4 linked regions of the Tamandua tetradactyla genome follow. The protein of the gene in region 2 purifies or fractionates together with the protein of the main gene of each other region. This does not show direct contact. Links are inferred from orthologs where the notes say so. Each region holds a gene or a part of one and is shown on either strand. Other genes may lie near its edges.

The links.
Region 1: the proteins of PPP2R1A (region 2) and MTCL2 purify together in Homo sapiens (co-immunoprecipitation; 3 studies listed by BioGRID and IntAct, with this or other methods). This does not show direct contact. The link is inferred for Tamandua tetradactyla from reciprocal best matches to the Homo sapiens genes PPP2R1A and MTCL2.
Region 3: the proteins of PPP2R1A (region 2) and PRR14 purify together in Homo sapiens (affinity purification with mass spectrometry; 5 studies listed by BioGRID and IntAct, counting the BioPlex papers as one, with this or other methods). This does not show direct contact. The link is inferred for Tamandua tetradactyla from reciprocal best matches to the Homo sapiens genes PPP2R1A and PRR14.
Region 4: the proteins of PPP2R1A (region 2) and NDUFAF1 purify together in Homo sapiens (affinity purification with mass spectrometry; 3 studies listed by BioGRID and IntAct, with this or other methods). This does not show direct contact. The link is inferred for Tamandua tetradactyla from reciprocal best matches to the Homo sapiens genes PPP2R1A and NDUFAF1.

The regions. Positions count from the first base shown.
Region 1 is NC_135327.1:15,452,367-15,460,355, forward strand, and holds the start of MTCL2 (microtubule cross-linking factor 2), read left to right. Parts: upstream 1-4,973; coding exon 4,974-5,648; intron 5,649-7,989. UniProt on the Homo sapiens protein: Microtubule-associated factor that enables integration of the centrosomal and Golgi-associated microtubules on the Golgi membrane, supporting directional migration. Preferentially acts on the perinuclear microtubules accumulated around the Golgi.
Region 2 is NC_135342.1:8,986,160-8,993,937, forward strand, and holds the start of PPP2R1A (serine/threonine-protein phosphatase 2A 65 kDa regulatory subunit A alpha isoform), read left to right. Parts: upstream 1-4,770; 5' UTR 4,771-4,854; coding exon 4,855-4,932; intron 4,933-7,778. UniProt on the Homo sapiens protein: The PR65 subunit of protein phosphatase 2A serves as a scaffolding molecule to coordinate the assembly of the catalytic subunit and a variable regulatory B subunit.
Region 3 is NC_135349.1:23,881,250-23,888,334, reverse strand, and holds the start of PRR14 (proline-rich protein 14), read left to right. Parts: upstream 1-4,083; 5' UTR 4,084-4,190; intron 4,191-4,580; exon of another isoform or gene 4,581-4,691; intron 4,692-4,997; 5' UTR 4,998-5,046; coding exon 5,047-5,069; intron 5,070-5,191; coding exon 5,192-5,360; intron 5,361-5,980; coding exon 5,981-6,102; intron 6,103-6,171; coding exon 6,172-6,376; intron 6,377-6,648; coding exon 6,649-6,692; intron 6,693-6,892; coding exon 6,893-7,002; intron 7,003-7,085. UniProt on the Homo sapiens protein: Functions in tethering peripheral heterochromatin to the nuclear lamina during interphase, possibly through the interaction with heterochromatin protein CBX5/HP1 alpha. Might play a role in reattaching heterochromatin to the nuclear lamina at mitotic exit.
Region 4 is NC_135340.1:55,000,404-55,007,604, forward strand, and holds the start of NDUFAF1 (complex I intermediate-associated protein 30, mitochondrial), read right to left. Parts: upstream 3,009-7,201; 5' UTR 2,915-3,008; exon of another isoform or gene 2,876-2,914; intron 785-2,875; 5' UTR 709-784; coding exon 133-708; intron 1-132. UniProt on the Homo sapiens protein: As part of the MCIA complex, involved in the assembly of the mitochondrial complex I.

The sequences.
Region 1 (7,989 bases), on a different chromosome or scaffold from region 2:
CGGACGGACGGACACACCTGCTCCTAACCCACCTCTCTGCTGTCCCACCCCCCGATGATGGAGGAGGGGTCCCTGCTGCCTTTGAAGGCTGACACCCCATCCCCGGATCCGCCCCTCCCTCCTACCTCATCCATGTCTTGCCACCACCACCCCCAGTCTCCTTCAATAACTGCTGGGTTTTTCTTCCCCCTTTGCAGCCACACTTCACAAAAGGGTTCCCTATACTCTGCCTCTACCTCTTATTTACTCTTCAGTCCACAGCCTTTGGCTCCTGCCCCATCTCTCCACCGAAACTGCTCTTTTCAAGGTCACCAGCAGCCACCATGTTGCCCACTCCAGGAGGCACTTCCCTGCTGTCGATTTTTCCTCTAGCTTCTCCGCAGCTTCTTGTTATGGAGCCCTTCCCCCACCTCTCCCTCCTTGCTAATCTATGCTACTGCCTTGGCTGCCTGACAACATGTGGTCTGGCTCCCCTCCTACCTCCCTGGCCACCTCCTCTCCGTCTTTGGTGGCTGGTTCCTCCTCTTCTACTATTCATGGTCCAGAACCAGGAGTTGATAACTGTGTGTTTCTAGGCTGGCTTTTCCTCTCTCTGTAGACCCTCTACCTCCTAGGAGACCTCCCTGGTCCCATGGATTTAAATAGCGTCTAAATGCTCATGAGTCTTCATGACTCCAGACCCAACTGCTACCCCGAACCCCAACTCCTGTCAGAGGCGTTCTTGACATCTCACGAGACTGTCTCATAGGCATCTCAAATTGAAGGTACCCGGGAAGACACTTCACTCGCCCTCCATACCTAGTCTCTCTACCCCCGAACCATTTCTAGGCCTGTATTACCGGCCGTGTTAAATGGTGCCAGCATTCATCCTGTAATTAAAGCCGGAATCCTGGGAGTTGAGCTTGACTTGGTTTCTCTGATCCCTCACTTCCAGTCCAGGCTGCTTGAGTCTTCCTCCAGAACAGAGCTCGAGAGTACCCTGTCCACTGCCTCCACCCTCGTCTCAGCCACCATCGTCTCTCAGAGACTGGAATGTTCTTCTAGCCTGTCTCCTGGCATCTGCTCTCCACAGCGGCTAGAGTGATCTATTTAAAAGAGAAGTTAGATTCTACCACACCTGCTTCGAATCTCCAATGGCTTCTCACCGCACCAAGAATAAAGCCTTGCCAAGTACATGGCCTGGTCCCTGCCACCCTCCCCGGCTTTATCTTGCTCCTCTCTCTCCATCACTCTTCAGGTGCCAGCCACATTGACTTTCTTACTCTTTCTTGAACGTATATCAAGCTTGTTCCTGCTTCAGGGCCTTTGCCCTTGCAGGGGGAACCCCACCTGGATTTCTCTTCTCCTAGCTCTGAATAATGCAGCTAAAATGTCACCTCCTCAAAGAGTCTCCCTGACTACCCTAGTGAAAGTAGGTTTCTTTACTGATTCCTCTAAGTTCTCCCCAACCAATGTTTTTTTGTTTCATGATTTGTATAGTGAAAAATGCAAGCAAACTTTCATTTAAATTATTTTAAAAATCACCTCCTATTTGAAGCCTTCCAGGATTTCATCTCCATTTAGTTTCCATCATGTTGATCAATTAAGCAGCTTGAATAGGAGAAATGAAATCTTTTCCACCAGCTAATCACCATCTTCATTTCTTACATTCTGATATATAATTCTTACAACAATTTAACGCTCCATTCTTTCTTCAGTAAAGCTTTATAGAACACAACCCTGTACTGGCACCAAACAGTTTACAGCCCAATAGTGCAGCAAAACAGGTTCCAGAATTATGTGGCCCTAGGTTTAAATCGATCCCACTTGTAAGCTGTGTGACCTTGGGCAAGCATTCCATTTACCCACTGCTGCGTAACAAACTACCTCAGAACTTAGTAGCTGAAAACAACAACATTTACTTTCTTCCAAAACTGCCACTGGGGCAGGTTTGATGGGACAGCTCATTTCTGCTCCACTTGAGGTCAGAGAGGGCGGCTCCAAGGCTGGGGGCTGAATCATCTGCAGGCTCGCTCTGTCCCATGCCTGCTGGGTGACACGGGGCCAAGCTGGAGCTGCTGGCTGCACGTGGCCTCTCCATGAGGCCTGGGCTTCCTCACGCCATGGTGGCTGGATTCCCAGGGCAAGTGGCCCAAGAGAGGGAAAGAGAGCCGGACAGAAGCCACCTTGCTTTTTGTGACCTATCCTCGGAAGTCACAGAATGTCATTTCTGCCACACTGTACTGGCTGAGACAGTCACAGAGATTTGCCCGGGTTCAAGGGGGAGGGAATGTAGAGCCCACCCCTCAGTGGGAAGTATGGATGCCATGCTGTAAGAAGAGTGATTGGGGTGAGATATACATTGGTGTGGCTGTCTTTGGGGGAAAAAAATCAGCCACGACAAGTCCCTTAACCTTTCTGAGATCCTTTATTGACGTGTTGAGCACAGATCCTGGCATATAGTGGGCACTACCAGGCTGGGTAACCACGAGGCTGGCTGGCAGCTGAGGATGGGCTTCCGGCCTTCATGGAGCCAATCCTGGGCTCCCAGCAAGGACTGGACCCTTGGTGGTCTCCCTGGTCCCCCCTCTCGAGGGCCTTGCTGCTCCCCAGGCTCTCCTGGGGCTGTAGTGAAGGTTGATGGCTCCCCAAATTCAAGGAACGTCAGAGCAGTGAAGATCCTTAGCCCCCAGCTCTGCCATCAATGTTGGGACCGGGAGTCAGGCCCAGTCCCAGCAGGGAGATCCAGGTCCACCCTTATCTCAGGACCACTGGTGTGGCCAAGGGGGTGTTAGGAGTGACAGAGCAGACATGGCTTCACACCATCCAACACCTCCAAGCCCACATTCAGCAGAGGGAGGAAACTGAAGCACAGAAACTGAACAATTTCCAAGAGTTACATAGCATCTGTCTGTGCCAGACCAGAACCAGCCTGCAAGAGCCGGGGACATCAGAGCTGGAAGGCACCTGTCATCTGTTACATCAGACCAGACCAGACCAGGTGGGACACTGAGGCCCAGGGACGGGGAGGGCTGCCCTGGGTCACAGAGAGGAAGCCCAGTGAGCCCACGTCACTGCCCAGCACCCTTGTCATATGCTGCACACACCCTGTTTGTGAGCAATCTTTTGTGGTCCATCTTCCCTTCAATCTGTGTGCTCCATGAAGTCAGGAAGTGACAAGCCCACTGCCATGTCCCTCGGTGTTCCACCTGTGCAAACAGGGCTGGGGGGGTGCTGGTGGGAGTGGACACTCATGGAGCAGGGGAGCTCGTGCCTTACCATGAGAGCCTGGGTCCTGCTCTCTTCTCGGCTCAGTGGGGGACACCCAGAGAATCTGAGGCTGGAGGTGGTGCCTATGCACCCAGGTCAGGAGGCAAGGCATGCCTCACACAAGAGGGAACACCCCAGGAATGTATTCACTGTAAGTGTGGGTGAGGGGGACAGAGACAGAGAGGTGGGCCTGGTGTCAGCTGTGTGCCAAGGCCCGGTGCAGAGGTGGAGGAAGCGGAAAAAGAGGAGGAAAAAAAAAGTGAAAAGGAGGAGGTAAAGGGGGCGGGGGAGTGGAGGAAAAGGAGGAGAAAAGGGAAGAGAAAAGGAGGAAGAGGCAGAAAAGGAGAAGAAAATGGAGGAGAAGGAGAAAAAGAGGAGGGGGGAAGTGGGGGAAGGGCGAATGGGGAGAGGAGGACGAGGCTGCAAAGGGATGAGCACACTGCTGCCGTCCTGCGTGGCGAGGAGGTGCCCTGCGGAGGGGGCGCCCACCCGCGGGGCCGTCAGAGGAAAAGGCTGGACTGACTCTAGCTCAGGGAGCTGCAGCGAGGCGCCGGGCATGGGGGGGTGCGGAAGGTGCGACAGACACGCGGAAAATCAACAACTCTGTCAGGAAGTCCCAGAGACAGCCCCAGAAAGAAAGAAACAAAGCTCCTCTGGAGCTGCCTCGCAGGGACACACGCGGGTCAGGCCAACCGTCCCGCAGCCCTGCGAGCCCACGCCGGGGCCAGAGCCCCCAAAGCCCCCACTCTTCTGACACTTCGTGACCGGGCTCCTGAAACTGGAGCCAGGGAAGGGGTGGGGGCGGGGTGCAGCATGCACGGCGTGACAGTCCGCCAAAGTGTGCAGAGGGGGGCACGCACCCAGGGCTCTATGGCCCCCACGCCCTTAGAAAGGAAGCCGACGACGGAGAGGGGCCCGCGTATACCCAGGAGGTGTGAGGCTGGGGTTCCTTCCTGGCTCGTCACGGACCTTGGGCTAAGGCTTCAGTTTTTGCATCTGTACAGTGGGATAATCGGCCTTGCTTTGCAAGATTAAGGGGGGCGGGATTCGTGCATCAGCGCACGCTCGGCGCCGGGCGAGGGTCTAGGGGTGTGCAGGGACGCGGTCTCCGGCTTTCCCCCAGTCCAGCTGGAGGGGGTGGGCGGCGGGCGAGCCGAGCAGGAGGCGCCGGAGCCGCGGCTGCCCGGGCCCGCCTGACCCTGGAGGGGGTCGCTGTTGCCTCGCAGATCCCTCCCTAGCTCCCGGCCTGCGTCCCTCCCCGCCGCTCCCGCCGCGTCCGCCTTTTGTTCGCCGAGCCGCGCGCCCCCGAGCCGAGGCGGCGGGGCGGGGAGCTGGCGGGGCTGCGCGGGGGGCGGGCCGCGCCGGGCGGAGCCGGGGCCCGGGCCGCAGCCGGACTCGGAGCCCGAGAGGGCGATCCGCGCTCAGGCGGCCGGGGCGCGGGTGCGCTGTGGAGGCGCGGCGAGGCCGAGGGGACGGGCGCCGGGCGCAGCCGGACCCGCAGCCGGAGCCGGAGCCAGAGCCGGAGCCGGAGCCGCGGCGCTTGGAGGCGGTCGGTTGGTTCCCTCCGCGCGCGGAGCAGCCGGGAGACCGTGCGGCGGGCTCGGGATCGGAGCGCAGCCCCAGGGCTGAAGCGGCCCGAGCGGCTCCGGAACCCTCCCCAGGGGCGCGGAGGCCGGGCGGGCCCGGGCCATGCCCACTGCTCGCTGAGGCCGAGGGAGGCGGCGATGGAGGCGCCGGCGGCCGAGCCCCCGGCCCGGGGCTGCGGGCCCCCGCCCGCGCCGGTCCCTGAGAGGAAAAAGAGCCACCGCGCGCCGTCGCCGGCCCGGCCCAAGGACGTGGCCGGCTGGTCTCTGGCCAAGGGCCGCCGCGGCCCAAGTCCCGGCGCTGCCGCCGCGTGTAGCGCCGCGTCCTCGGCGCGACCGGACAAGAAGGGGCGCGCGGCGGCGCCTGGGGCCCGGGGCCCGGGGGCGCGGGTGGCCGGGGTCCGCGCGGGGGTCCGCGCCAAGGGCCGTCCGCGGCCTGGAGCCGGCCCCCGGCCCCCGCCGCCGCCACCCAGTCTCACCGACAGCAGCTCGGAGGTGTCGGACTGCGCGTCGGAGGAGGCGCGCCTGCTGGGCCTGGAGCTGGCGCTGAGCAGCGACGCCGAGTCTGCGGCCGGGGGCCCGGCCGGGGCCCGAGCGGGGCAGCCCCCCCAGCCGGCACCTTCCGCTCAGCAGCCTCCGCGACCGCCCGCCTCCCCCGACGAGCCGTCGGTGGCCGCGTCGTCCGTGGGCAGCAGCCGCCTGCCGCTCAGCGCCTCGCTCGCCTTCTCCGACCTCACCGAGGAGATGCTGGACTGCGGGCCCGGCGGCTTCGTGCGCGAGCTGGAGGAGCTGCGCTCCGAGAACGACTACCTCAAGGTGGGGAAGCTGTGGGGGCAAAGGGAGGCCGCAGGAGGCACCGGCTGTCACAGCCCCATGGGTCTGAGGCCCCAGCTGGCCCACTTTCCCACTGAAGGGGCTGGAGAAAGGGACCCAAACCCTCTGGGGACCACCCTGAGATCCATCTGGGGCCCTCTGTCTTCTTAGCGTGCACGCAATTTGGGGGAAGCTCTCTTGGGAAAAGGAACCTGGATGAGACGCTGGCCAAGGGGGGCCCTGAATGTTTCTGGCATTTGGGGGAAAGGGGGCTTGAGAAAGCTGGTTTGGAGGTGGTCGGTGAGGGATTGGATGACTGCATCCCGCTACTCAGAGCCCCCCAGGCTTTCGTGGCTGGCCTTTTGGAGATAGGCATTCATGTGCATGGGTGCCAATGAACCTGACTGTGTGGCCTGGGAGCAACCAGGCTCTCCCTGCCAAGCAGAGGCCAGAACAGCATCCTGAGTCTTCAGCCAGGGCTTTCCCTGGCGCGGGCCTGCCCCCGCCTGCCTCTCAGGGCGGGTCCGGTTTGAAAGCATGACATCTGGGAACATCCCCTTGGCCAGAGTCCCACTTCCGCCCTGTCTAACGGTCCTATAGCCGGAGAGGATGATGTCGTGGGAGAACTGGTTCTGAGGCAGCTTCCTAAATCCTAGGCTGGCCCCCTGGCCATGTGAGGCCGTGCAGGAAGGGGATTCACGCTTATTGTCCTGTGCCCCTCAGGGAAGGCCCTGTGCATGCAGCAGTCCCATTGGCCCCTCTTGGCCAGTGCCTGTGTCCTTGTGTTCCCTGGTTGAGAGAAGAGAAGCCTGCCTGAAAGAGGCATCCCCACTGGGCGTGTGGGGACTTGTGGGCTTTCCTGGGACAGCAGGCTGTGCTCGCACACGTTGTGGACTGAGCACCTGCCGGGTGCAGGCCAGGCTCTGTGTGCCCACCGCCTGGCACTGTGACAGCTGTAGGGACGGCCTAGCCCTCGGATGTCATCCCTCGTCCTGGGAGGTTGTACGTTCACAGGCCCTGCTGCCCCTGGCCGGGTGCAGCTTTGGAAGAGGCTGCGGTGTTGCCATTCTCGTCACCTGATGGACTGGCACAGCACCCAGAAAACCCTGGCTGAGAGCCCCAACGTTACGAGCATTCTCTGGGTGATGTCTGCCCGGTGGCCCACACTTTGCTTTGTGTTGTGGCTCTTCTGGCCAAATGGGTTTCCCCGTCGGTAGAGTGTGGGGGTCTTGCTCAGCAGTGTCTGTCCCTCCCCATTTTTCCTCAGGATCTGCTCCCCAGCAGGCATTCAATATTTACGTGTAGAATAGTAGGACAGGGTGTGTCTGAGTCAGGATAATCCACCTCTTCAGCCTCTAGCCTTTCCCCAGGCCAGGCCTCAGTTTCCCCATCTGTCACATGGGACTGCAAGTCTTCCCAAAGGCCATTCCCCATGGATGATCAGGGTTTCAGCCAACTCTTATAGTCTGTGGAAGCCAGTGGTGAGGTGAGGGTAGGTGGAGCTGGGTGGGAGGCCGGAGAAAACCACGAAGGAGGGCTCTTGGCTGTGTCCTCCGGGTACTCTGAGCTGCTTCCAGCACCCCCTGCCCGCGCTGTGTTGAACTCAGACCCTGAGCTCTTCCCCCCTTGCCCACTGCTTGCCCAGGCGAGGGAGCATGGGTCCCAGAGCCTTGCTTCAGCAACTCTTTTAGAAACCCCCCCCAGGAAGTCATCAGACGACACTCTGGAGCCTGTCTGAGCCCCCCCCAGCACTGTTCAAATGAGGGAACAGTCCCAGAAGGCTGGTATTTGAACCCAAGCCCAAGGGGCCAGGGCTTAGCTGGAGACACCCCCACTGGTTCAGGGTGTGTGTGCAGATCTTTGGTGTCTGTAGCATCCTGGCTCTTTGATCTTTGACAAGTTTCTTTCTTTCTTCACATGGGCAGGCGCCAGGAAGCAAACCTGGGTCTCCGGCATGGCAGGTGAAAAAACTCTGCCTGCTAAGCCACCGTGGCCCACCCCTGACAAGTTTCTTAACATCTCTGGACCTGTTTTCTCATTTGTAAAAATGGGATAATGACACCTTCCAGCCCTAAGGGTTAAATGGGATAATGTGTGCAAAGCACCCCTAGAGGAGCTGGCAGGTGTGAGCCTCAGAGACAGCTGGTGTGAGTACTGCTATTCTCAAAGGTGTGTGACATATTCCCCTGTGCACCTGTCCTGGGGATGCTCTGGGCAGAATAGGTCCTCTTCATCCCTTGCTGAAGCATTTGGGCTCTGTCTCCTAACCCCTCATTCATTCATTCATTCACCAAGCATTTATTTATGACCTCCTGTGTACCAGGCACTAGCACAGGTCTGGAAT
Region 2 (7,778 bases):
TTCAAACCAGCACAGTGGGGTACCTCTGTTACAATTGATGAAACAATATTACTACTATACCATTAACCATAGTCCATAGTTCACATTAGGGTTCACGGTTCATGTTATACAAATCTGTGGACTTTTTAAATTTTTATTCAGGTAATATATATACAACACAGCATTTCCCATCTGAGCCATTTTCAAATACAAAATTCAGTGGTGCTCACAATGGGAGACAATATTTGGAAACAACATATCAGATAAAGGTCTAGTATCCAGAATTGTTAAAGAGAGTGTTCAACTCAACAACAAAAAGACAGCCAACCCAATTACAAAATGGGCAAAACACTTGAACAGACACTTCTCAGAAGAGGAAATACAAATGGCCAAAAGGCACATGAAGAGATGCTCAACTTCCCTGGCTATTAGAGAAATGCAAATCAAAACAACAATGAGATAATATCATCTCACGCCCACCAGAATGGCCATTATCAACAAAACAGAAAATGACAAGTGCTGGAGAGGATGTGGAGAAAGAGGCACACTTATCCACTGTTGATGAGAATGTCAAATGGTGCAACCACTGTGGAAGGCAGTTTGGCAATTCCTCAAAAAGCTAAATATAGAATTGCCATATGTCCCAGCAATACCATTGCTAGGTATCTACTCAAAGGACATAAGGGCAAGGACAACAAACAGACATTTGCACACCAGTGTTTATAGCAGCATTATTTACAATTGCGAAGAGATGGAAACAGCCAAAATGTCCATTAACAGAGAGTTGACTAAACAAACTGTGACATTTACATAAGATGGAATATTATGCAGCTTTAAGACAGAATAAACTTATGAAGTATGTAACAACATGGATGGACCTTAAGGACATTATGCTGAGTGAGATTAGCCAGAAACAAAAGGACCAATAATGTATGGTCTCAATGATATCAACTGACATTAGTGAATAAACTTGGAGAATTTCACTGGTAACAGAGACCATCAGGAGATAGAAATAGAGTAAGATATTGGGTAATTGGAGCTGAAAGGATACAGATTGTGCAACAGGACTGAATGTAAAAACTCAGAAATGGACAGCTAATGGTGCTAATTGCATCTGTAATATTGGGCTCCTATCACCACCATTACTAAAACTTTTCCATCAGTCCACATGGAAATGCTGTACCAAGTAAGCATTAACTCCCCGTTCCCTGACCACTACCCTGGCCCCTGGTAACCTGTCTCCCAGTTTCTGACTCTATGAATTTGCATATTCTAATGTTTTCATATAAATGAGACCATATAATATTTATTCTTTTGTGTCTATAGCCTTATTTCTCTCACATGATGTCTGCGAGGTTCAGCCATGTTGTCACCTGTATCATACCTTCATTCCTTCCTCTGGCTGAATAATTTTCTGCTGGATAGACAGACCACTGTCGTGGTCAGGTCCATGTATCAGCTTGGCCAGGTGGTGGTACCTGTTTGTCTGGTTGGGTAAGTGCTGGCCTGCCTATTGCTATGAGGACATTTCATAGAATTAAATCATGATCATGTCGGCTACATGAATAGCTGATTCCATTTGTGATCAACCAAGGGGAGTGTCTTCTGCAATGAGTGATGCTTAATCTAATCACTGGAAGATTTTCAAGGAGGATTCAGAAGAGACAGGATCTCTTCCTGCTTCCACCAGCGAGCCTCTCCTGTGGAGTTCATCCAGACCCTCCATCAGAATCATGAGCTTCACAGCCTGCCCTGCGGATTGTGGACTCTACATTCCCATGATTACGTGAAATACTTTAATCAATTTTATATTTATGAATATTTCCTGTTGATTCTGTTTCTCTAGAGAGCCCTAACTAATACAGACCACATTTTGTTTCTTAATTCCTCTGTTAATGGACACTTGGGTTGCTTTCATCTTTTGGCAATTGTGAATAATGCCATTGTGCTGGTTTGAAATGATGTATGTACCCTAGAAAAGCCATTTTTTAATCTTAATCCCATTTTGTAAGGGCATCCATTTCTTCTAATCCCTATTTCTAATAGGATTATGTATGTTTGAACCTGTAATCAGATCATCTCCCTGGAGATGTGATTTAATCAAGAGTGGTTGTTAAACTGGGTTAGGTGGAGACGTGTCTCCACCCATTTGGGTGGGTCTTGATTAGTTTATGGAATCCTATAAAAGAGGAAACATTTTGGAGCAGACGATTACGCAGCCACGAGAAGCAGAGAGTTCACCAGCCAGTGACCTTTGGAGATGAAAAAAGAAAACGTCTCCTGGGGAGCTTTATGAAACAGGAAGCCAGGAGAGAAAGCTAGCAGATGACATCGTATTTGCCATGTGCCCTTTCAGCCAAGAGAGAAACCCTGACGGTGTTTGCCACGTGCTTTCTCATTTGAGAGAGAAACCCTGAATTTCATCGGCCTTCTTGAACCAAGGTATTTCCCTCTGGATGCCTGTGATTGGACATTTCTATAGACTTGTTTTAATTGGGACATTTTCTCGGCCTTAGAACTGTAAACTAGCAACTCATTAAATTCCCCTTTTAAAAAGTCATCCTGTTTCTGGTATATTGCATTCCAGCAACTAGCAAACTAGTAACAACCATGATCATTGGTTGTAATGACTTTCGTTTTAATCACAAAGGCATCATCTGGCTATTATAAAAGTTCAGATAGACAAAATAAAAACAAAGTGGGATGGAAAAAAAAAGTTTTTTCTCTTGACCTGTTCTACCCTCAAAGTAAGCAATGTTCTATCTTGGTGCATATTCTTCCAGAGCTGCTTACATTCTTATCCAGACATACCCATGTACACACACGTCCACAGACACATACCCCTTCATGCCAAACATATTACTCTGCAATTTCCATTGTTAGCATAGCATAGATCTTCGACTTTTCCTCTTAGTACATAGAGATCTAACTGGTTCTTATGAGGAGTTGCTTAATAATCCATCGTTAGTGTACACACCCCACCCCACCCCCAGTTTATTCCTCCAAATAGTGGATTGTCCCATTTTAGACATTAGAGAATGATGATCAGGAAAGAAAAGGCAAGACATAAAGCAAAGAATGTTTCATTGTTCAAGAATCTCCTGGCTTTGTTTGACTGTACCCCTACCCTGAAATGAGCTCAGACGTAGCAAAATAATCCCAAATCTCAAACTAGGTATAATTTTTATACTATTACATAAAGCTTTCATTTTATTCAAGTAGGACATCAGGGTCAGCTCAGATTTGAATTTCAGCTGCCCTATTACCATTCGAGAGATCTGAAACAATTTCTTAAATTCTCTATGCCTCAGTTTTCTCATCCATAAAATGGTAGCAATAATGGTTCTTTACCTATCTCATAGGGTTGTGGGAGGAAGTGCAATTCATTATACTTAAGTGCACATCATTTGGCATTCATGTTGTCATTGCATGGACATTTCTTAAGAAAATACTTATTAAACTAACAATTTTCCTTGGGCATTTGGAGCCAATCATTTGTTCTTTCCCAAAGTTTTGTATGAGATTTAAAAAAAAAAAAAAGCAAAGCCTCATAGAACCTAGCTATTTCTCCTGGAATACATATTAATTTATTAAATCCTAAGTTTCCTTGTGTTTTAAAGAGCTGTTAAAAAAAAAAAAAAGCCTCAGCGGCTTTTTTTGAAAATTCCTCTGCGCTGGGTACCCAAAAGATAAAACCCCCCAACCCAAACAAAACCCGAGCAGTCCAGCATCACAGCAGGCAACCGTCCCTAACCCCCAGCTAAGATCCACAGCCTCGGTGGGCTCGGGTGGGCAAGCCTGGGAACACGGAAGGCAGGGGCTGAAATACCCCGAGTCTCACACATGCACTCTTAACACGTAGTAGTTTCCTGACCCGAGTGGGTGGGGGTGTGCAGACCCGTTGAGGGGGGTCCTGGCTCAGCCTCACCCTTCAGGTGGGAATGACCAAGTGGGCTTCCCATTCCCACCGCCCACAGGGTGGTCCCGAGGCTGCGGGAGGGGTGGGGTGACCGTGTGGAGTGAGGTACGCCCCGCGCCCACCCTGAAGAGACAGACGGCCACTCAGAACGACAGCCCCAGGCCCCGGGAGGGTTTTTTCTTGCTGGAGGGAGGCCCAGAGGACGAAGGCAGAAGGTAGGGAAGACAGGGGAGACCTCTATGGAGACATCTGACGAGTGAACAGGGGCTGCACTCTAAGGAGTTTGAAGTGCGACTTGGGAAAGGCTTGTAGGCTAAAAAAAGCAGGAAGTGCTCAGGCGGGGAGGAGCGAGATGTGGCTAAGAGGGCGAGCGGGTCGGATCCACGGGGTTCTTGGGTTTTACTCAGAGAACCAGGCAAGTCTCCTCCATCCCAGGGATAACCTGAGGACCTCCCGCTCCCTTCAATTCCCTCACAGGTACTCCAGCGCCACCGCCCGACACCCCAAAATGCGTGGGGACCCCACCCCTAGGTGACGTCATGCGCTCCAGGCGGCACACGCACAGAAGCCTTCTCCCGGACTCCGCCAAGGGCGGGCTACGCCTCCGCCCGGTCCCGCCCCTCGATGTAGAAACCACTGTTCATCTCGCGTTGCCAGCGGCAACGTAGGCGGCTGGTTGCTAAGATACCTGGTATTGCGGTTCCCCCCGCCCCTTGCTAGGCTCCGGCCAACCCAAGCTCGTCCATTCAACCAATGGCAAATGGGCAGTGGGCGGGACTTGATTTACTCGGACCAAAGAAACGCGGGCTACATCCGGCGTAGCGCAGCCAATGAGCGCGGGGCGGCCCCTGTAAATTGGCCCGAGCGCCCCCTCGCTCGCCGTTCCTCCGCCCCCGGCCCCGCCCCACCACAGCACTGTGCTGGTTGCGGTCTGACCCGAACGGAACGGAGCCAAGATGGCGGCGGCCGACGGCGATGACTCGCTCTACCCCATCGCGGTGCTCATAGATGAGCTCCGCAATGAAGATGTGCAAGTAAGAAGGCTGTAGGGGCTCGGGGAAGACGGCAAGGGAGACATGGAGGCCCTTGGAGGCCCTCGCGGAGGGGATCGCCTTTCGCCTGGAGTGGCGGCCGAGTTGGCGGCCAATCAGCGTCCAGCTCTCATCCCTCTGGGTCCCCGGACCCCATGAGACGGCGCTACGGATTGGGAGTCGGCGCAGCGGGGGGGTGGGAGCATGGGCGCGCCTGGAGGGTCCTGGGCCTGCCGAACGCGCGCGGTAGCCGGGGGTCTGGGAGGCCGGGGTGGGGGCACGGGATGAGGGTGGGTAGGGCCCCGTGATTGGCGGAGGTCCCGGAGTGGCCCCTTGACTGGGCGGGGAGCGGGCGCGGCCGTGTTGGCCAGGACTTGGGTGTGATTTCTTCTTCTTGGGTTTCCGCGGGGCCGCGGCGTGGGCCCCCAGAATGGGCTGCCTTCGCCATTCCTGCCCTCCTCTCCCATTTTGATGTACACCCTCAAAGAGGAGGAGGGCGCACCGGGGGGAAGCCAGCACTGTAGCAACCCGCCCCCTTTCCCCTCCACCCTATCCCCCCACTTTCCTCAGCCGGCTCACGATTTTCTCCTGAGTGGGTTGTTGGGGGAGTGTTATATATAGGGGGGCTTTGAGCCGGCTTAGGGCTTCCTGATAGACCTGGGGGGCCGGTCACAGCTCCACCGCCCACACGCTGCGTGACTTTGGGCGAGTTACTTCACCGCTCTGAGCCTCTTTTCCAGGCAGTGTGGGGTGATATAGTCCTGGCCTCACTGGGTGATTGTGAGGACTGATTGCGTTAAAAATATTAGTAAAACAGACGGCTTCTGGCCGATTGTAAGGGCCCAGCAAATATTAGCCGTAATTATTGTGAACAGTGCGTGAAGCCTCCCATCCTCCATCTCGTCCTCAGATTCCCACTTATAAAATCGAGGGGGATGCACTGGGAAATGTTCCAAGGCCGGGCAGGGCTCGGAGGTTTTGGGTGCCTCGCTCTCATTCTGGAGTCAGACAGGCTCCCCTTTGTCGAGTGAAAAATGGCACTTGACGGTGTTAAACAGGCAAGAATGACTATCCAGTGGCTGTTACAGCAAAGGGAGAGAGTTAAATTCAACTCTGCGGAAAAAAGGAAAGCCGGGTTTTTAAGGACTGGAGGTGGGTTGGAGGAAAAGCCTAGGAAGATAGCAAGGGGTTTTATCACTGGGATGGGGGAAGGGATTTGCTGAGGTTGCAGTTAGGCCTGGTTGGTTCCTTCAATGTGAGCAGGGATTTACTGGTTGCCTTCTGGACCACCTGGTTCGGAATGTTTTCTTTTGCTGTAAGGGCCAGGAGAAAGAAGGAGGGAGCTAAGGAACCTCCCAATTAGGAGCTTCTCAGGTGCCTGGGTAGCCAGGTGAGGGGAGAGGAAGCTCGGGGGTGAAGTTGCTGTTTACAATTGTTGGGGCCTAAAGTTGTCCTTTTTCCATTTGTCTTGTCGGCGGTCCGGTGCTCCCCACCCCTCACCCCCTTGCAGTTGGAGTTGTTTTTGTGTGCAGTCCCAGAGCTGCAAGATTAGTCAGGACCCAGGAGGGAGTGGGGAGGCATGCAAGGAGTAAGCTGACTGCTTGGTCAGTTTGTACTCCTCTCTCTTCAACTTCTTGCTGATTGATATGGACAAGTTAGGTGAGTCTTGGTTTCTTCTGACAAATGGGGATAAATGTCTTGTCGGCCAGGCAGTTGTGTGAATTCACGTGTTCAGTAAACATCTGCTGAGCCTCAGGTATGGTGCTGGGGCAATAGCAGTGACACTGGTTGCTCTTCAGGAGACAGGTGTGAAGCATGTCGACAGCTAAATATAGTCACACATATGAGACATGGTGGGCAGGAAACAAACACGATGTGATAGTGGGCCTGCAAATATCTGGAGCCTCAGCTGTGCACTGTCTTTGGCACAGGTGTTTAGCAGAGGATGAGAAGGACATTTCCTGGCTTTGTGGTGCTTATCAGACTAGGGCTGGGAGATAAACAGTAAGCAAAATAAGTAAATTGAATAATATGTGAAACAGGGATAAATACTATGAGGAAAAATAAGAGAAATGTGGAGTACAATTTTAAAAAGAGTGGTTAGGGGAGCCCGTGCTGAGAAGGTAATATTTGAACAAAGATACCAGATTTGCTGGTACAAATTGCAAGAAATGTAATGGCTTAAAACAACAGAAATTTGTTATCTGACAGTATTGTAGGTCCAAAGTTCTGACATGGTGACTTGACTAGGTAAAATCAAGGTGTCAGCAGGGGTATCTTCATTTCTGGACACTCTAGAAGTGAACCATTTCCTTGCCTTTTCCATCTTCTAGAGGCTTTCCCCATCTAGTACTTTCCTCCATCTTCAGGGCCAGTGAGGGTCCTTCTTCCTGATTTTTCTTTCATAGTCTCCTTTCCCTCTCTCACAGTCCGGAGAGATTCTCTGAGTTTCAAGGATCGATGTTATTATATTGAGTCTGCCCAGGTGTTCTCTAGGTCCTTACCCAGATCACATCTGCAGGCTCCCTTTTGCTTCATGAAGCTGCATAATACTTGGTGATTCCAGGGATTGGGTAGTGGACATCCTGGTGGGGCTTTATTCTGCCCCCCACAGTCACTGCATTGGAAGGGGGAGATTGAGGGACAAAGTGGTAAAGAGGGGATGGTGAGTGTGCTTTTTTTTTTTTAACTTCATCAGTTAATTTAGCTTTTTTTGTTTGTTTGTTTAATCCTTGCAGTTTTAAATGTTACTGCATTGAGGTCAGTGAAGCTGAACTTGTTCCACAGGAATTTATATTTATGGAGTACTGGGTATTGGGCTGCCTGATGAGGCTACAGCTGTGAACAGA
Region 3 (7,085 bases), on a different chromosome or scaffold from region 2:
GACTTCTGCTGCTTTTACAAATGGCTTTCCTTCTTAGTTTATTAAAGCTGCTGGAATGCAATATATCAGAAAAGGAATGGCTTTTAAAAAGGGAATTTATTAAGTTGCAAGTTTATAGTTCTAAGGCCATGAAAGTGTCCAAATTAAGCCACCAACAAGAGGTTACCTTCCCTCAAGAAAGGTGATACCATCTGGAACACCTGTCAGCTGGGAAGGTATGTGGCTGGCATCTGCTGGGGTCTCTGGCTTCTGGACACCTCTCTCAGGTGGTAAAGCACTGGCAAAGTGTGTTAGCTTTCCTCTCCTCATTTTATAAGGCTTCCCCAGGGGCGATTTCCTCCTGCATCTCCAAAGGTCTCTGGGTGCGTGGGCTCTGTTGGCACTAAAGCTCTTTCCAAAATGGTTCCCTCTTAAAGGACCCAGTAAGCAAGCCCACCTTGAATGGGTAGAGACACATCTCCACGGAAATCACCTAATCAAAAGTTACAACCCATAATTTCCATGGAAACATTAAAAAAGATCCCACCCAACAATACAGAATGAGGATCAAAGAGCATGGCTTTTCTGGGGTACATAACAGTTTCAAATGCACACACCCTCTGAAACATTCGTATAGTGATTTCAGGAGCGACTTTCAAACTTGGGACATTCATTTTATTTAGCGCTAAAATACCAGTTGGTGATGGTAAAAGTCTGGGTACAGTCGGGAGAGAGAAGTCACCCAGCAATTTCAACAGGGACAGTTTAATACAAAGAATTATCAACTACAACAGGAAATTAGAGAAAAGAGGGATTAGATAGTAAGAAATAAAGAGAACTCTAAAGAATACAGGAAGAGTGGATATGAACAGCAACTGAGACAGAATGTCCAAGGAAAAGCCTCCACCCTCCCTGGGGCTGAAATCCAGGACTTCTAAGAAAGAGCACAGAGGTTGCTGGGTGCCACTCTGGTTGGAACTTGCTGGAAACCTGCATTCCATGGTCCTAGGGAAAGCAGTTCACAGGAAAACATCTTATCAGAGGCACAAAACCATCAGAGGGAGTTTACAGGAAAAGCAGGCACACAGAAAATCAGCCTGTACCAGAGAAGCGGAGAGCTGGAAAACCTATTCGCTCTGCAGGAGCCTGCCAATAGAGCCCACCAGAACCAGGGAGCAAAAACTCTTTTACTGCAATGCCTCCCAAATGGTGTATTGACAAGTCTTAACATGGGACCAGTTGGCATAGAAAAAAATATTTAAAGGCCCCAGTTCCACTTTCACAGAGCAGGCAAAATGGGTGACTCTGGAGCTGAGAGGTTTTTAAATGAAGAACCAACACAGTGACATGCCATTGTTTCAGATAACAACAGATACCTCTCCTGGCCTTTCTTGGCTTTCCCTCCAGTCCTTCCAATCTTCCTCCCTTCCCTGACATCCTCACTATGAGCCCTACCACTTTATCATGCAACTCCTTCCGAACTGCTCCCTGCCCACCATCTCCCAGCCCCCCCCCAAAAGCCAAAGATGGAGCTGGTGGAAGGTTAATCTCTACACTGGGGCAGAGAGGGAGTCAGACCATGGGGAGGACCAGAGAAGTAAATATTATAGCAACCTGAAGTAGCTGACCAGAGGCAACAGTCTGGAAAGGAAGGGGCTGAAACCTGACTGGATCCGTTACTTCAGGGTGGAGAAGACGGAAGTTGAGGGAAGTAGAGACAGTGGCAATTCCGTAGATAGGGATAAAAGGCAGTGATATAAACTGAGGGAACAGGCACCAGGTTTAGCTCCAAGGCAGAGCATCTGGGAAGTGTTGAATTGCTGATGTCTAAAGTGCAAACCAGGGCAGCAACTCAAACCCAAAGCTTCTGATCCTTCCACAGGGGCGGTTCTTAGCAAAGGTCTGTAATGGACTGTCCCAACCATTTCAACACCCTGCAGCCACAAACCAACCTGACCCAACCCCACCCTACCCCTGCTGATCAGGAGCTCAGGCTAGAAGCTTCTACAGAGAGAGGTACTGAGCAGAGTAGTACCAGGGACCTGGTACCAGAAGGGGCAGGGGTGCTCTGAGAGGAAGAGGCAGTTGTCATCTTTCTCTTTTTATCTGTAGCCTGACATTTAGATCATTTATCAAAAACATTTAAATGTGTTTTCTCACTTGATCTTCAAAGCGCATTTTGAGATAAGAATGCAAAGGTTTATTGTTCCTATTTTATGAGACCACTGAGGCCAGGAAGAGTTAAGCAGGTAAGAGATCCAGAATTTCAAGGAGAATGAAACACTTTTGTGCCCTAGCAGCCAATCTCTGGCCACATCATCTTACTCCCCTATAGGTGGCGTGAGGCCTCTTACACTTGGATTGGCATATGTTGGCCACACCCTAAAATATGTACCCAGTTGGTGGTTAAGATAGGAATTGTTGAAATGGTAGTCACAAAGAGGGCAGAGGTGAATGCTGGCCCAAGCTGGGGCCAAGACTGCCACAGTCTGCTTTAGACTTCAACTTGATGTACCCCAAAGCCCCAAGCGTGGGTCATGGCAAGGGCCCTCAGTATCAGATTCTTAGGCTCAGGTCCTTTCTTTTAACTATCTCCATTGCCCTTGGTGCTGACTTCTTCAAGAGACTGGGATAATCAATTCAGATCAGGCCTGCTCTGTCCTTGAAGGTTTCTCCTGCCTTGGAGCTTGGAGAGCACTGGGTATTTTAGCAGGAAAGCCTAAAGAGAGGGTCTCAACTCACCAAAGCCACCATGCCTCCAAGGCACATCCTCAGGCACTAGACAGCTAGCCCTGACCTAGGAGTAGAGTGAGAAGGCCTCTAGGTGTAAATAGCTAAGACTCCTATAGTGGATCTCCAGAGGGCCAAGCAAACCTGGTGTTACAAAGAGAAGCTGTAGCTCCGGGAAGACATCTGTCTTGATGAGTCCTTGGGGCATTGGGGAGTCTTCACTGACCCACCAGCTCTCCCAGATTGTGCTCTTTCCATATCATCTTTTCTGTTTCATTAGTTGGGCGCTCAAACTTCTGATGATTTTACAGGACCGGGTGGGTGCCTCTGCATGTTTCCACTTGGTCTCAGATCTAGGATTCCAGGCTTCATGTTCTCTTGCTCTACCCAGAAGAAAAATTCCTTGATTTGGGTCACGGAATCCTGGGGCAGGAGAATTGGTAGCGGTATGGGTTTTGATTAGGCGGTAAGGGTGCTTTCCCATGAAGCAACCAGTATATTCCGACTTCCTCCCTACCCGCTCTTGGTAAAAGCTCCCACAGGTGCAGTCTTTCGCCTCTCCTAAAAGCGGAATCCCGTCCGCGATTCCCTACTGAGGAATTATTTACACCCCCATCTAGAAGCCAGCGGCTCCTTGGAGCCGAGAATAGAAGCGGGCGGAACGCCAACGCGCACGCCAACGTGGGTTATCGGTCTTCTGCATGACGCCCCTATACTGAGCCCTCTGCGCGGGCCGCAGACCCCGCCACAACTCCGGGAAGAGGTACACACCCTTCAGGTGAAGTGAAGCTCACTGCCCCAGCTTCCTCCTCAACCTCCATTCAGCCCAGTCTCCCTAGGACCTCGCGCGGAAAGCGGGGCCGGGGGGCATAGGAGCTCTAGGCGGCTCGGACTTCGGGGTGCCCGCCGCCCTCTCCCCAGCTCGGATCCCACGACATGGGAACTCCGTTTTGAATCTGTGTGACCGAGGGTAGCAGGATAGTCCGGAAAGATACAGGAACCAGCCTCAAATGAAGCCTCTCTAGGAAACTGGGGATTTCTCCTATCGTCAGCACTCAGTTCACGTTTATTGGCCTAATGACCAGAGGACCGGAAGATGCCCTTAAAAAATGTGGCGGCACTCTAGCTTCACTACAGCTGCTTCAGTAATTCAAGAAACCTGGAGCAGCCTTCGGCCATTGACTGGCCTTCAAAAAAAATGATGCCACCCTGTTCACTTCGGTTGATCGAGGATTACAATCTCTGCCCTCAACCAAAATGGCGACTGTGCCCAATTCGGCTCCTTGCCCCTAGGGATAATGGCCGCCGAAGCGGCTTCACTTCGCTTCTCTCCACTCCGGAAGACGGAGATTGTCGATTGGGCGGTGCCCGAAGGCTCAGAGAAGAAGGCCCTTGGCGGTTGGGCAGGGTTGGGTAAGGCTGGTTTTAAAGGAGCCGGGGGGTGGGAGCCGTCGAAGACCCGGGATCCACGGGAGGCGGCGGTGAGTGGCGCGCGGGGGAGGGCACGGGGCCGCTGGAGAGAGGGCGGGAGGAGGGGTGGGGGAGGAAACATTTGCACCATCTGGTTCCCGGGTGGGGGGAGCGCTGGGCGGGGATCCGGGGAGGGCCGGGGTGGGGGGGTGTATGTGGGCGGGACCTCCCGGGATTGGAGTGAAGGGGTATCTGCTTGACAGTGGATCTCCGGGGATCCGGACTGAGATCCGTGATGCTCAGGCTCGGACCGCCCCTGGCTGAGTGGAGCTTCGCAGAGCCGGAGCTAACCGGGGGAGGAGAATCCTCGCGCGGCGTCTGATTGGAGGAACCGCGCTGTAGGATTCTGTCCTCCGAGATCCAGTCTATGGGATCTCGGGGCGCGGGGGACCGTCGGTGTGTGGGAGTATTGCTTCGGAGGCCTCCGTCACTTGCTGGGAGTGAAGAAAGTATCACAGAGGGAGCCGGCGGAAGCGGCGCCTCCCAGGACCGGGATCCCAGCGGATCCCGGGGTATCTGAGGGCGAAATCTGCAGGGACAAAGGCCCCGGGAAGCTCGGGCCGTGGGGGTGAACTGGGGCGCCGCAATACAGGTTCTCGCGGCAGGTGCCCGGCAGGGCGCGAGTAATCCGCTAATCGCGGCGGCTGTGGCGGCGGCGGCGACAGCGGGAAGACACCCGCTTCGGGAGGCCGGCTGGGGGCGCCCTACCGCGTCTCAGGGCTCTGGCCCGTGGGCTCCCCGGCGCCGCGGGCGGACCATGAAGGGCGGAGCCCCGGGGGAGGGGCTGGCCCTCACTCCCCGCTCCCCCCCTACCCCAGGCTGCAGCCTGGGATCCCTCAGGGACCCCCCGGAGCCGCCGCTTTCCCCATGGACTTGCCCGGGGACTCCAGGTGAGAGCGCACCCCGCCCGCCTGTTTTGAGCCCGGGAAAGGGGGAGCCTGGCGACAGTACCGGGAAACCAGAGAGCCGGCGACCGGCTCAGTCGGCTGCCTCTGCTTTTCTCATCCTTTAGCCCGCCCGGCCCACCGCGTCTGTGCCGCCAGCCATTGGCCCGAGCATTATGGGGAGCCGGGAACCCGAAACGGCCGAGGCTTCAGCCCCAGGGAGCTCCTTCACCCCTGGAAAAGGCCTCTCGGCGGGTCCTGGCCGTGGTGCTGGAAGATGTCATGGCTGCCCACATGGTGAGCCCCTGGACTGAGAGACACCTCCGACATACGCGCGTGCGCGCACATGCGACTCTCCTCAGTGTCAAAGTCAGACCTACCAGAGTCCCAGTGAGGATAACTCAAGTCCAAACACCCCAGTCCCATGGCCCAGGCGGCCTCCATAGTGCTAGAATTCTCTTAGGCTCTCATTTGCTCCAACCTAAAATTGGGCAGGGTCTCCTGCCCCTAGTGGCCACCCACAACCCTGGTAGGCTGGCCCCACATCTCTGTAACTCAGTCCCAGCAACCCTTTGGCTTCCTTCTCAGCCCAGCCTCTAGGCAAGCCTTGGGAAGTAGGGTGAGGTCATTGACTCCACTTCAAAGGAGCGAAAAGTGGAGGCCCAAATTATGGCAGTGACCACTCCAGGTCACCTTCTGCTTTTCTTTTCTCCAAGCAACCAGGGTGAGAAAAATTACCCATGTCACATCCCGGCAGGTTAGGATACTCTAATTTTGGGTCCTTAATTCAGTCTAAGTTACTTCTTTGGGGATCTCAAGTGAATTCTAGCCACAGCCTCTGTCCTCTGTGTGGCTGGGGGCCCTGCACAGCCAACCTCATTCTGTTAGCCTGCACTTGACCCTTTATCTTCTCCTAGGTCCCCTTGGTGCCCCAAGAGGAGACTTCTGCTCTTCGACATCACAGCAACCATCAGGATTCTGCCTGTAGCCAGCCACCTGCCTTGCCACCCCAACAGGCCATGTGGTCCCCACAGGCCAGGTGAGCATGGGGATCAGGCAGAGCTGGGGACATGGCTGAGCCCCTCTGACCCTCCTGCTCCCTCTCTAGGCCTCCAGACCCTCTGCACTTGTGCCGTGAGCCCTTGAGCCGCATCCACCGGCCCCCTGCCACCCTGAGGCGGCGACCAAAGACAACCCCTGGCCCTGAGGAGGGCCCTTCACAAAGGGTGGACCAGGCCCCCCAGCCCACCCTGGTGGTGATGCTTGAAGACATTGCTGGCCCTAGATCCTCAGCCGAGGCACGGAAACTTCAGGTAAGGATGTCAAGTGTCAGAGTGCTGGGAGTAGGCATTCCACGGAGACAGAGGACAGAGGTGAGAAGCCTGAGTCTGGGGTGGATTTTGCTCAGGGCAAGAATGACAGTAGTTTACATGGGAGATGCTGTCTAAGCAAAGACCTATTTGGAAAAGTGTTTGATGTGAACCCAGGCATCTGGAGTCCAAGAGATGGAGATGGGGTGTGGGGAGCTAAAGAGGCTGAAGGATAACTTCCCTGCCTCCCTACAAATATCCCCTTTTTAATCCAGGGCTCTATCGGTGAGACCCCCAACTTCATCACCCCAACGCAAAGGTAAGAAAACTGGGGAAGGGGTCATCAAGATGTCCAGGCCACAGCCATGGTCCCTGGCAGCCAGGTTTAGGGACAGTAGGAGTTACTTATCCAGTCCTTTTTTCTAGCACCATTAGAAACCTTAAGGACAGGTGCTGGCTCAGGTGAGATCAGGGCCTGGAAGCTCCCCCAACCTTTCTTTACCTTGCCCTTTCACCCAGAGCTGAGTCCATGATGATGGTTCGCCAGCCCATGATTCCACCCAGGGACCTGGAACTGCCATTCCAGCCATCTACCTTGCCTGAAGAGCCTTCAGAGAGCACACCGCCAGGTCAGGATTTGGGTAGGGGGATGAAACTTGGGGCTCTGGGAAATCCTAGCTGACCTTGAAAGTGTCAGGTGCAGAGGTGGGGG
Region 4 (7,201 bases), on a different chromosome or scaffold from region 2:
AGAAGTTTTAACAAACTGAAACAATGTGCCAGGTGTTTTCATTTACTGGAACAAAAGCTGCCTGCTTAGTTCATGTCACAACAAAGTTCACCCCATATCACTAAGAAACCGTAGCCACTGCACCTCACCTACCCTTGGAATCCTGGATATCATTGCACAGTACCCACTGCGGCCACTCTCCCCGTCGTGAGGTGCTTCAGTGCTCAGATTTCCATACAGTAGTGCACTTTGGTTATTCTTGCCCATTTTCAGGAACACTTCACTTCTACCTCCAATTGTCTTATCAGAAGTCACTATCCACCTATCTAAATCTTCTTTTCCACGGAACTGCCAGACAACCTTAGCTTGTTCCAGCAAGACTTCATGTAAAGGGTGGCCTTCAGGCCCTTTCCAACGATTCACAAAATCATCCTTCAAGCGCCTAAAATGGTCCTTTATTTCTTCTTGAATTGCTTTTTCAAAACTAATTTCAGGCTTTTCATCAGGAGAAGGTATGTCCAAAGCAGCTTCTCTATGGTGATGTCCTTGCAAACCCTCTTCAGTCTTCCTCTGAGGGGAAGCTTTGCTAGGAGCAACCACCGGTTTCTGAAGACCACTGGAACAATAGTCTGCAAAGTGAGTACCCAGGAATAGATGTGAGGCAGCACTTGGCATCTGGCATTTTCTGAGAATATATATGCCATTCAGCAATTTGTGAACCAAAGCCATGGTAAGAAAAAGTCAAAATGTAAAATTCTCCCTGGACCACCAAGGAAAGAAGCTTCAATGAACAGCCCAATTCCACCTGTAACAGAAGAGACGTTGAAAGAGTTACCGTGTAGCAATGAATGCATTACAATTTCAATTTCAATCCAGGACAGGTATGATGACATTCATGAATTTATATTCTAATTCTATAAACATTTATCCAGCACCCACTATGAGCAAAGCATATATTATGCATTGTGAATAATACCAAGATGAATTTAAAGATGAATAAAAAAAAAACACAGGCTCCATCCTCACGGAGCTAAAAATGAATCCCAAAATAATTCAAGTATGTGCTGAAAGCTATCTTGAGAAGTTGTGTCAATTTTAAAGCAAATGTTCACGCTGGATTTCTTAAAAAACAATAGGTTCCTAAAACAAAATATTCAATTAATCACTGTAGGACGTGGGCCAACAGACTTAAAACTTTAGCACTTCACCTATAAAAAGAAGGGCTATATTTGTGTGAGCATTGTAAGGGGAGTCAGAAAAACTAGACTGGATACCCAGCTGTGCCCACTTATGGGGTTGTAAATGTTGTGGATATCAACAATTTCATATAGCTAAACTTCATAATGCTGTTTATCCTCAGGTAAACCAGTTGATCTTTTGAGGTCTTCTGTACCTACATTAAGGGATTCTTCTGCAGATGAGACAGAATAACAGCAATGAAAGGCTGTGCTGATTTAGTAGGCCTGATGAGGGCCCCAAGATTCTGCACGTCTAACAAACTCTTAGTGCAAGGCCTACACTCTGAGTAACAAAGCTTTGATTATCAGTCATTATTTTGAGCTTCTCAAAGATGGATCATGAACAGTAGTAGCCATAACACCATCACCTCGCATTTAAATATTATTCTATTTTCAAATCATCTTACCTCATTTAATCCACACTAGACTACTGTGAGACAAGTCAAGTAGATAATTTCTTCCTGTAGAAAAACTGACACCGAAAGATGAAGTAACTTACCTAAGATCACAATGCTAATCAGCATGGGAACTGGAACTAGAACCCAGGCCTTAAATCCTTCCACCAGATGCTGTTGCCTCTCTATATGTAAGATATTAGTAATATTATGTCCATAGTTCTCATAAAATAACAACTTTGCCTTTACCAGCAACATTTATGCTAATATTACATAATATTACATAAGGGCTATGAGAGGTAGGCACAGGAGCTTATGAGAATATAGAGGAAGAACGGTGTCAACTCTCTTCAAAGACCACCAAGAACATGCCAGTAGTTGAACAAGTTGGATTTTTTACTCCTTGTGCAGGAACAATCATAGGGAATCATGGTCATCTCAGTAAGAGTGTTAGAGAGGTCTTATAGGATTTGTGCATGTGTTATGTGATTTGGGGGAGCATACTGTCAGGAAGTGTGAGTAACTGTATGATCTTAAATCTTATCTAGAAGGAAAGAAGACTAGAGTGAGGTTAATGCCATAATTTGTAAGGAAGCAGCATTCATTCATATTAGCCAGGATGGGATGTTTGGTCATTTTTGTGGTCGGAACAATGTTCATGATTTTTGCTTCCTTCAAACATGATTATGGAGTGGTCTTGTTTTTTGTTCTGTAAACCCACAACTTCTCTAACAAAGAAAAATAAAGTAATAAATAATTTTTTTAAAAAAACATATTTTAGGGGGAAAAAAAGAAAGGAAGAGGGGAAAAGGCTTAAAAATTGTCTGTAAGGTGACGGGATTGAGTAACATTATTGGCTCTATTTTCCAAATCCTCAATAATACGGTTCCTTCTAATAATATAACTTTAGTTATAAATGTTTTCCTTCATATTTTTACCAATAAACACAAAGTAAAATCCATTAACTGGATACCCGGCCAGATTAAAGGTGAGCTTTGTCGACAACGAGAAACAAGCTTGTTAATAAAGATTGTAAATCCATGTGCCAGACACTGTGCTAAACGTATTTTCACTGATTCCTCACAACAACCCTGAGCGAGGTACCATTTCAATGATAGAGATGAGGAAGATTAAACTACCCGAGGTAACACAGTAAGCGCCAAAACGAACACTGGGGCCCGGCATTCAGCACCCGGCCCAGGTCGGGGGGCAACCCAGACCCTGCCGCCTGCCACGCGAGGATGGGCTTTTGCCGCCCCTCACCTGCCAGAGCAGGGTCGCCCTCCCACATCCCGAACGTACTATTCACCAGTGAGTCAACGCCGGCTGCTAGGGGTGACTTCTTCCCCGGTGCCCCACTTTTTTCCGTCCAGTTCCCTCCCGATTTCCCGTCCGGCGCTCAACCAGGCATTAGGACACTAAAGTTCCGGCCCGATGCATAACCCGGGCAGGTTAGCAAGAAAGCCGGAGCCAGCCAAACTGAGGCTTTTGTCCCGCCAGCTCCCCAATAGACCCTCTCTCTTCTCTGTCCCTCCTGATTTTTTCTGTCCGATGTAAGAATGGAGAAAATTTAGAGTCGTTTTTTTGTCTCCCCTTCCTTCATCTCACTTCCGGCTACAAATCCAATCCTTGCATCTTTCAAACAGAACCCAAATATTGCCAGTTCCCCTAAGACCCCAAGTTCCCGGGTCTCCTCGTGCCCGCTGTCCACGCACCTACCCCCAAGAGCTGTCCATGGCTCAGAGAGCAGGTTCTGCTGGAAGTGCCCCCGCGGGATTCCTAGATACCCACCACGCATCTACACAGCAAACCACCCTGCCCACCCCGCCCCAAATCCACCCCGCGGGCCTCCCATTCTGCAGATTCTATTATATCTTGGACATATCTCTGTTAAAGAACTTTCAACTTTTTTTTTGTATTGTGGTAACATAATGCAACATAACATTTCCCATTTTAAGCTTTCAAGTATACGAATCAGTGGCATTAATTACATTCTTAACATTGTATCTTATTCATTCACTTCTCTCTTCCTCTGTCTCTCTATGACATTCTTAGGTCCAGACTATGCTGGCCTTCCTTTCCCCAACACTTAACATAGTGTTGCAGGACTTAAGCATGCGGCAAGAATTTGAGTAAATTGTAACCACTGGCAGTCTGCTCCCAGCCCTATCCCCAATACAGCACATTAAAACGGTTCTTTTACAAAGTTCCTAAGAACCTCTCTAAAATTCAACTTCCTTTTCCAAGTTTCTTCCATCACTAGTTTCCATGACTTCTCCTCTTTAAATTCTGCTTTGGCTTCTCAGACTCTGCAATGCCTCTCTTATTCCCTCAGACTTTCCTTATCTGCCTCCTTCACTGGCTCTTTCCTTTTTCTCTTCCCACAACCTTAAATAGCCTATCTCCAAAGCCCAGTAGGCATTTTCTTTTCTAGCCCCAAATATGTGTTATCTGCATATAGTTTGATAATGTCTTTCCTTGGGTACCCAGCATACATTTCCACCGATTGCTATCTATTCCTGCTTTGGGATATACCGCTGGCATCTCGAATTCAAGAACAATGTCTAAAACTGAATGCATCTTATTTCTCCATGTTAATTCCTCTTTTTACCATCCCTATTTCTGTAAAAGCTCACATTCTTCTAGGTTGAAAACCCTTGACTATCATTAACTCCTCTCCTTAAAACTTCTTCTCACCAACACTAAATTCTATTGAGATCTTGTTGTCTGTTTTTTATCTCTCTCCACCCTTGTTGAACCTAATGTCACCTGTGATAGTTTGAATTATGTACTTCAGGAAAAATAAAGTAATAATCTTAATCCCATTCCCAGCAACATGACCCCATTATAAATAGGGCCTTTTGAAGATGTTATTTTTGTGTAAGGTGTGACCAACTGAATCAGGATGGGTCTTAATTTTATTACAGAAGGCTTTATGAAAGAGAAGCCACAGGGAGGAATTGGAAGCTGTAAGTCATCTGGAACCCAAAAGAGAAGGGAGAGGTCATCAACGGGAAAACCAGGGAATCCCAAGGATGGCCAGCCTGCCAGAACACAACTGACCCAGGAGAAAGCAAGCTGTTGAGCCTCTAAAACCATGAGACAATAAATGCCCATTGTTAAGCCAACATATTGTGTGGTATTTGTCATAGCAGCCAAGAAACTAAGACAATGCACCAATAGTTAGCGCCCTTATACAATTTATAGGCAGTCTACTAATTGCTGTACTCTGGCCGCATAACAGTTTGTCTATCTTCATTTTAAAACACTGCACCCAGAACTGACCATCATTTTCCTTGGCCTTCTATAATCTAACTCTATCTATACTATTCATATTTATCTTCAGTTTCCCATGCCAGCTGGCATCTACCTAAATGACAGGTATTTCTTCTCATAACGGAGCTTAATGTTTTCTCTGCTTAGCATCCTTCCCTCTCCCACATCCCAACCATGTGGTCCCATATGTTTAAATGACCCTTCCCCCACCTCAGCTGATTGGTCTGCACTGAGCCAATCAGAATTCTTCCTCTGGGTTTTCTGATGTGAAATTGAGAAATAATTCATGCCAGAGGAGAACAAGATTCAGCAATTTTAGCTCTTGATGGAAACAAAAAAAATCAGGGTTCCTTTGGAGTTATAGAATCCAGCAAGTGAATGGGTGTGATTTTCAGGAAAAAAAATGTTACTCATGGGGGTTTTCAGGTCATGGTGGTGTCACTACAGGTGCAGGGTTAGTATGCTGAGGGTCATACAGTCTATAAGACTTGCAAACAGAACGGCAAATTGCCCTTTGCTGATCTAGGAACTTGATTTTATCCATTTATTCAGAAGATTACTTTGTGCCAACCAAACTCACAGGAGTTTGGACAAACAGGAATGTCCATTTATTCATCTACAATAGGAAATGGGCCCAACTTGATGTCCAATATGATCTGCCCAAAACATTCCTTCTTGGTGGGGAAGCCCACCCTGCAGGCTGGACACAGACCAGAGAGGATAAGGAGGCACATAATTAGGAAGACCTGGCGGTGTTCAAGTGAACTTCCAGTAAGCAAAATGAATTATTTGTCCCTCTTCTGCTGATATTTCTATATACAGCACTGAGGCTAGGCATTTGGCAATCCCACTTCAATATATATACATTGAATATAGATATATATCTCTCTGGGGACACAAATATATTATTTTTCTATGACTCTTGTTTTAGTTGACACCAAGTAGGCCAACCCCTACACATCCCCCAGCCATCAGTCAGCACCACAATCACTTCAGACTGAAGCAGTTTTACCTCCTTTACAGTTACAATCCAGAAGGCTCTATCACAGTCCCCTCCTGACTTGGATTTGGGAAAGACTTTGCTACCTCTGCCACACCATTCCATCTCCTCAGACTGAACTGCAATTGGCAAATTCTTACTTGCCAGGGTAAAAGGAATGTGCAGATTCAGTGGCTTCATTTTCTCGCTGGTATTTCCTAACCTGATCTTCACATTCAGGTGTTGAGCCTAAGGAGAGAATATTTAGCTGGGCACATGAATGCAGATTGCATTTCACAGCAGCCTCCTTAGCACTCTACCTCAATGGAAATGGAAATGTCAGGCGAAAACTTCGGGGAACTCTCCTTAAAAGACAACTGGCATGTGTCTTCCCCTTCCTACTCTATTTCATCTTCCTGCCTAGAATTTGGAAATGACAGAACTCCATCTTGGGCTATGAAGTTAAGGGCAACCTCCTAAGAAAGGAGCAGAAAGCAGGAAGGAGCCTGGAACCCCAGACTTTGGAAAGCAGAATTGCCAAAACAGCCCTGGATTGCCTGCATCTAGACTTTAACATGAAAAAGAAATAAACTTCTCTCCTCTTAAAGCAACTGTTAATTTGGATTTATCACCTCCATTGACCCTAACCCTAAACCATATATCCAAGTATGTGCCACTGTTGGTGAGTGAATAGGTTGATCCATTTTGCCTCATTTCTTTTTTAAAGAAATCAGCACATCTAGGTGGACCCAAAGGGAACTATAACCCTCCTAAACCGATAGAACTTTCTGCAATGATTGAAATGTTCTTTATCAATGATGTCTAATATAGTAGCCACCAGTCACATGTGGATTTTGAGTACTTGAAATGTGGCTAGTACAATTGAAATATTGAATTTTAACTTTACTTATTTTAAATTAATTTAAGTTTAAATAACCTCATGTGACTAATGGCTACTGGATTGGATGATATATTTCTAGATAATTGAGAGAGAACTCTGAATTAGTCCTGAATCAGTCAGTATGTGAGAACCAGAGATTAATAAACATGTTATGGGAAGGAGAATTAAACCAAGTATGAATTTTAAATGATGATCATTTCTGCTGATTTAGCTCACAGATCACAGAGCCAGGCATCTAGTATACTATTTCTCTTAAAACCTTCCTCAGTCTTGTAAGATATATGCTTTTGCCGCTATTTTACTGCTGAGGAGAATGAAACTCAGAGAGGTTAGGTGACCCTACCAAGTTCATAGAACCAGTGAAGTGGCAGAACTGGCCTCTGAATGCAGGTCTCGTAGGCTCTGTGGACTCCTTTTGATCATGGAATTTGGT